Linked DNA regions of Anolis sagrei. The protein of the gene in region 2 interacts with the protein of the main gene of each other region in a pairwise test. Links are inferred from orthologs where the notes say so. Each region holds a gene or a part of one and is shown on either strand. Other genes may lie near its edges.

Region 1 (3,753 bases), on a different chromosome or scaffold from region 2:
AATGAAAGCACCCCCAAGGGATGGCCATCCAGCCTCTGCTTTAAAACCTCCAGAGAAGGAGACTATCAGAATATATTCCACAACCGTACAGCTCTGACCATCAGGAAATTCTTCTGAATGTTTAGGTGGACTCTTTTTCTCCTGCAGTTTGAATCTACTGCTCCATGTCCTAATCTTTAGAGCAGCAGAAAAAACTTTTCTCCTCCTCAATGTGACATCTTTTCAAATATTTACACATGGTTCTCATGTCCTCTCAGCCTTCTTTTCCCCAAGCTAAACACACTCACATTCCTTAGTGGCTCCTCATAGGACTCGGTTTCCAAACCTTTGCTCACTTTGGTAGCCCTTCTCTGTGGACGCCTTATTTATTTATTTACTGTATTTTTACCCTGCTCTTTCTCACCCTGAAAGGGGACTCAGAGCAGCTTCCAAACTGGCAGTAATTACAAATATATACAAATACAATATACACCTACACTAAAATCAATACAAATTTTAAAAATAATAGAATATCTATTAAAAACCACATAAGATCCGAAGTCATAATCCAGAAGGCATTCCAATTGTGTTGCAATTACTTCACAGCTGCCTATTGCACTGACTTCTCCGAAAGCTTGGTCCCATAGCCAGGTTTTTAGTTTCTTTCTAAAGGTCCGGAGGGAGGGAGCTGATCTGATTTCACTGGGGCCCCTTCCCCACTGCCCCTTCATCCCAGGATATGATCCCAGATTATCTGTTTATCCTAGGTTATCTGGCAGTGTGGACTCATAATCCAGTTTAAAGCAGAAAACTTGGGATCTGATCCTGGGATAAAGGGCCTATCTGGAAGGGCCCTGGGAAGTGAGTTCCACAGCCGAGCCATCACTGAGAAGGCCCTGTCTCTCGTTCCCACCAGCCGCACCTGTGACGAAGGTGGGACCGAGAGCAGGGTCTCCCTAGAACAGTGGTAAACTGGTTGGGATTTCTGGGAGTTGTAGGCCAAAGCACCTGGGGACCCACAGGTTGAGAACCACTGCCCTAGAAGTAAGTAAGTAATGTTATTGATTAGCCCTTAGGCCATATCACAATAAGAAAGAAAACAACAAGGACTGAAAAGACCTTATCACACTCCACTTAGTAAGTTAAAATACGACACTTATAACAACACTGTAAATAAATATAAGACGTGATAAAACTGATAAACTTATCAAGATGAGTATATACATCATATTTCATTATCACCCCTACAATTTACCCCCAATCAGCCCTACATATGTGGTTCTCAGACGTATTGTTTTGCTTAAGTACAGAGCTGTTTTATATGTAATTTTTGGGTCTTGGTCACACATAAAGTATGTTGTTCTGATGTGAGATTCCCAATACATTCTCCGTTTGATATATGGACCAAGGTGGAAGTCTCAGCCCTAGAAGATCTTAACCTCCGAGGTGGTTCATAGAGGGAGATATGTTCAGACAGGTAGGCTGGGCCAGAACCTTCCAGCTTGTCAATATCTCTTTTCAATTATTATTACTTGGATTATTATTCCAAGTGAGGTCTGACTAAAGCAGAATAGAGGGGGGGGGGGGCTAGGACTTCCCTTGATCTCTACACCATTTTGGATTCTGATACCCTTTACGGCTCCGGCCCAGCGTACCTGTCCGAATGTATCTCCTTCTACGTCCCACCCTGGAGTTTAAGATCTGCTGAGGGGGCCCTGCTCTTGGCCCCACCGTTATCACAAGCGAGACTGGTGGGGATGAGAGACAGGGCCTTCTCGGTGGTGGCCCCTCACCTGTGGAATGCACTCCCCGGGGAAATTAGGACATCAACATCCCTCCTCTCCCTCAGGAAGAAGCTAAAAACCTGGATGTGGGACCTGGCCTTCGGGTAAGCTGGCAGATGGAAAAAGACAACCAAGAATGACCAGAGTAGGAAAGGACAATGACAATGCTAAATTGTTTACGGACTTGGATTTGGTGAACACTGACCACAAGATGTTTTTATTGTTGCTAGTATACTGTCTGATGGTTTTAATTAGTTATAACTGTGATATTATGTGGTAAATTTGTGTATTGTATATGGTATTGTATGTTGTAATTGTTAGGCATCGAATTGTGCCTTTTGTAAGCCACCCTGAGTCCCCCCTAGGGGGTTGAGAAGGGCGGGGTAGAAGCACCCCAAATAAATAAATAAATAAATCCTCTTATTGATGCAGCCTAGAATCGCATTGACTGTTTTAGTTGCTGCATCTCACTATTGACTCACATTCAGCGTGTGGTCGACTAAGACTTTTAGATGCCTTTCACATGTTTTCAAACCAGTTGTCACCCATCCTAAAGCATTTCATGTTTATTGCCCAGGTGTAAAAACCTTACATTTCTCCCTGATGGAATTCTTTCTAGTTTTGGCCCATCTCTCTAATCCAGGCATGGGCAAACTTGGGCCCTCCAGGTGTTTGGGACTTCAACTCCCACCATTCCTAACAGCCTCAGACCCCTTCCTTTTCCCCCTCAGCTGCTTAAGCGGCTGAGGGGGAAAAGGAAGGGGCCTGAGGCTGTTAGGAATGGTGGGAGTTGAAGTCCCAAACACCTGGAGGGCCTAAGTTTGCCTATGCCGACTCTAACCTGTTCAAAAGCCATTTTGGATCCTGATACAGACATTATACTCCTATTGATGCGGCCTAGAATGGCACTGGCCTTTTCAACAGCCAAAACATAGAAGTTACAATTTCCAGAAGGCTCTCTTCTCTCCCACGATGTCTCCATAAACTGAGGCCCCCTCCCACGTTTCGAAGACTCCGCCAATCCAATCCATTCCCCATTCTGGGTCACCCACCAGGGACGCAAAACCGCGCGGGCGCCATGACAGAAAGGCTCTCTCCACAGCCAGGCCTCCGAGCCTCCCATTGGCTACTCTCGTGGTCACGTGACTGCTTCGCCCCGGTTTGGGAGACGTCCGGGAGAGAGAGAGAGAAAAAATGTCGGAGGAAGAGTATTAGGCGCCGCGCGGGGCATGACGGGAATCGTAGTTCCATTCGGGACATGCAGCGTGCATGCGCGGACGGGGCTGTTAAAGGGAGGGTGGGAGAGAAGATGCTCAGGTGAGGCAGGAACCGGGAAGCGTCTGGGGCTGAGGATGGCAGGAACAGGTAAGCTCCGTGCCTTGGCCTCGTTGTGTTGCATGCTTTGAACCCTAAAGGAGAGAGTCTCCTTTGTTCCTCTCCATTGTTATTTTGGAGCTCGTCTTCCATAGCTAAGCCTTTGGCATCCCTCCACCCTTTCAATCACAAAGAGGAGGCTGTGATGATTTCTCTTCCTTCCTTCCCTTCATAATGACCTGGCTTTCCCCATATTAACCTCCAGCTTCTAAGAGGTTTTATGAATGGATGTGCAGTATTTTCTTCCTCCGGTTTGTGCAGCTACACTGTAGAATAAATGCGGTTTGATACCGCTTTAACTGCCCTGGCTCAGTGCTAGCTCTCTGCCAAAGAGTGCTGGTACTTCATCTAACTACAAACCCCTGGATTCCAATAGCATTGAGCCAGGGCAGTTAAAGTGGTGTCAAACTGTGTTAATTCTACAGTGTAGATTGCTCCAAGGGGGTATTTATTTATATATAACTAAACATCCCTTGCCACGCGTTGATGTGGCCCAGTCTGTGTATATGAGTTTTATGTGTGTGTATATATTTGTGTATGTGTTTATATATGTCTGTCTGCATATATATATATATATATATATATATATAAGCAGACAGACATATATACACAAACA
Region 2 (3,753 bases):
AGATATATATAAACCTCACGTTCCTAATTCCAACAGAACTCGCAACCCCTTAGGGTGTGTGTGTGTGTGTGTATGGCAGATACATAAGCCCCACTTTCCTAGTTTCCAATAGACCTCACAACCTCTGAGGATGCCTGCCATAGATGCAGGCAAAATGTCAGGAGAGAATGCTTCTGTAACATAGCCATACAGCCTAGAAAACTCACAACAATCCAGTGATTCCAGCCATGCAAGCCTTCGACAACATACTAGTATTATTATACTACGTAACACATTTTTTGTTCCTGGATTATCAATATCATTTCCGAATTGGTCATTACAGTTAATTGGTTAATAATAGTTATTATTATTATTATTATTGTTGTTGTTGTTGTTGTTATTGGAGCCACAGGTGGCGCAGTGGGTTAAAGCACTGAGCTGCTGAACTTGTTGGCCAAAAGGTCACAGGTTCGAATCCAGGGAGCAGAGTGAGCTCCCGTTGTCAGCCACAGCTTCTGCCAACCTAGCAGTTCACATGCAAATGTGAATAGATCAATAGATACCATTCTGGCAGGAAGGTAACGGCGCTCCATGCAGCCATATCGGCCACATGACCTTGGAGGTGTCTACGGACAATGCCGGCTCTTTGGCTTAGAAATGGGGGTGAGCACCAACCCTCAGAGTCAGATGCAACTGGACTTAATATCATGGAAAAACCTATTATTATTGTATTGTCGAAGGCTATTATTGTATGGCCGGAATCATTGGGTTGTTGTAGGTTTTTCAGGTTGTATAGCCATGTTCTAGAAGCAGTCTCTCCTGACATTTTGCCTGCATCTATGGCAGGCATCCTCAGAGGTTGTGAGGTCTGTTTGAAACTAGGAAAGTTGGGTTTATGTATCTGCCATATATATATCCTCAGAGGTTGTGAGGTCTGTTGGAACTAGGAAAGTGAGGTTTATATATCTGTCATATATATATTCACAGAGGTTATATATTCTCAAGAGGTTGTGAGGTCTGCTGGGAACTAGGAAAGTGGGGTTTATATATCTGCCTGCCATACATGCAGGCAAAACGTCAGGAGAGAATGCTTCTGGAACAAGGCCATACATTCCAGAAAACTCACAACAACCCAATAACAACTATAATTACGTCTTGTTCCTGGGTTATCACTGTTGTTTCCTAATTGGTTCTTTCATAAAAACATGGGGGAAGTTTCTTAAAGTTTGTTTTTGCAAGAGGTGCCATCCTGCCATAGCTCATTTTTCTCTAGTTTTTCAATTAGGGTGCTTGCCATAGATGCAGGCAAAACATCAGGAGATAATGCTTCTAGAACATGGCCGTACAGCCCGAAAAACCTACAACAACCCTATTATTATTATTTGAAACACAACAAGATGAGTCCACAGCAGACACTCTGCTGGCTGTTGTATTGGATCACACGTCGGACGCTTCCCAAGTGTCTAGGACTGTGTGATGTATCGGCAAATAATGTGTGCAGATCCCAGTAAGGTGGCCTTTTGCAGCTGGCAGATGGTAATTTTGTCAGTGCCGATTGTGTTTAAGTGCAGGCCAAGGTCATTAGGCACTGCACCCAGTGTGCCGATCACCACTGGGACCACCTTGACTGGCTTGTGCCAGAGTCTTTGCAGTTCATTATTATTATTATTATTATAACTAGGGAAGTCTAATTTAGAGAAATTAGGGAAGTCTAAAGACCTTTGGAAATTAATCTTCCATGACTCCATAGATCAGGAATGGGCAAACTCTGGTCCTCCAAGTGTTTTGGATTTCAACTCAGTATAGATCAGGCCTGGGCAAAGTTCTGCCCTTCCAGGTGATTTGGACTTCAACTCCCACAATTCCTAACAGCCTACCGGCTGTTAGGAATTGTGGGAGTTGAAGTCCAAACACCTGGAAGGGCAGAAGTTTGCCCAGACCTGCCATAGATAGTGTCACTGTGTTGGGACCTCCAAGAGAGAAGATTCCAACCTGGGAGGACCTTTACCTTTGGATTCCTATGAGTTTGGATGCAGTTCCCTCCACTGGGTAAGACTAGATCTCCCTCCTGCTTACCTGCCATGGTGGCTTGTCCTCCCTGGACCCGGTGGAGAAGGGGAAGAGCTCTTTGCCCGGCTTGGGGTGCCTCTCCTGGGATCCAGCTGGTCCTTCTGAGTGTCTTCCTTCCTGGGCAAGAGTGCCTCCTGGTTGGGGCAGGTTTTGAGGCTCCCTCCTTGGGAGGCGGCGCTGGCTGGAGACCTCCCTCCTCCTCGAAGCCTCCGCCCCGCTCCCCCTACAATCCGGCGGGGAATTTCCACCCTGTGACGTCCTCCTCGTGACGTCTTCTTCGTGGGTCTCCCCTCCCACCTCCCACCACCAAAACCCCGGTGCGCCAAGGAGGAGATAAGGCGCACAGAGAGAGAGAGGCAAGAGAGGAGTAGGAGGGGCTGAGAGAGCGTGACTCCCCGTCACACCAAGCCACACTCCCCTCCAAAAAAAGGGGGGGAGGGCATTCTAACCTTTGAGGGTTTAAGGTCAGGTTTGGGGAGCCCCCTCTTCAAAGGCGCGCCCACCACTCTCCCACCTTCTCAAACTTCACCCAACTTCTTTTCTTTTGGTGCATCTCCACTCGAGAAAGGATTCAGCTCCAGACCACTTGCATTTGCCAGTTGCTTGCTGCTGTGGGAGGCTGGGAGTTATAGTTTTACCATAGTCTTCTTGAGCCTCTCAACAAAGGATTCCCCCAGGCAGTAAGAAACTGCAAGGCCATTGAATGCTAATCAAGGTGGCCAATTGAAACATTCACACCTATCTTCAATAGACAAAGAGTTAGGTTCTTGTGGGGTTTTTTGGGCTATAGGGCCATGTTCTAGAGACATTTCTCCTGACGTTTCACCTGCATCTATGGCAAGCATCCTCAGAGGTAGTGAGGTCTGTTGGAAATAGGACAATGGGTTTATATATCTGTGGAATGGCTGGGGTGGGGCAAAGAGCTCTTCTCTGCTAGAGCTAGGTGTGAATGTTTCAACTGACCACCTTCATTAGCATTTGAAGGCCTGCCTGGGCCTGGGAAAATCTTTCGTTGAGAGGTGTTAAGATGTGCCTGGTTGACAAAGAGTTCTCCCAAATGCCTCACCAAATTGCAACTTCCAGGATTCCATAATAATGCCTCTCAACAAAGGATTCCCCCAGGCAGTAAGAAACTGCAAGGCCATTGAATGCTAATCAAGGTGGCCAATTGAAACATTCACGCCTATCTCCAACAGACAAAGAGTTCTTTCTCCCAAATGCCCCACCAAATTGCAACTTCCAGGATTCTGTAATAATGCCTCTCAACAAAGGATTCCTCCAGGCAGTAAGAAGCCAGACCCTGAAACTGCAAGGCCATTAAATGCTGATCATGGTGGCCAATTGAAACATTCACACCTACCTCCAACAGACAAAGAGTTCCTCCAAATACCTCACCAAACTGCAACTTCCAGTATTCCGTAATAACAGTAAGAGAGCTCATCGCCTCTCAACGAAGGATTCCCCCAGGCAGTAAGAAGCCAGATCTTGAAGCTGCAAGGCCATTAAGTGCTAATTAAGGTAGCCAGTTGAAACATTCAGACCTACCTCCAACAAACAAAGAGTTCTCCCAAATGCCTCACCAAACTGCAACTTCCAGGATTCCGTAATAACACCTCTCAACAAAGGATTCTCCCGGGCAGTAAGAAGCCAGACCTTGAAGCTACAATGCCATTAAGTGCTAATCAAGATGGCCAATTGAAACAT

The links. The genes of interacting proteins can lie anywhere in the genome.
Region 1: the proteins of REL (region 2) and EXOSC1 interact in binary tests that used the Homo sapiens proteins (3 or more experiments, as listed by UniProt). The two-hybrid records come from large-scale screens. The link is inferred for Anolis sagrei from reciprocal best matches to the Homo sapiens genes REL and EXOSC1.

Annotation. Positions count from the first base shown.
Region 1 is NC_090023.1:217,772,468-217,776,220, forward strand, and holds the start of EXOSC1 (exosome complex component CSL4), read right to left. Parts: upstream 2,918-3,753; 5' UTR 2,844-2,917; coding exon 2,816-2,843; intron 1-2,815. UniProt on the Homo sapiens protein: Non-catalytic component of the RNA exosome complex which has 3'->5' exoribonuclease activity and participates in a multitude of cellular RNA processing and degradation events.
Region 2 is NC_090021.1:12,673,870-12,677,622, forward strand, and holds the start of REL (proto-oncogene c-Rel), read right to left. Parts: upstream 2,312-3,753; 5' UTR 2,063-2,311; coding exon 2,056-2,062; intron 1-2,055. UniProt on the Homo sapiens protein: Proto-oncogene that may play a role in differentiation and lymphopoiesis.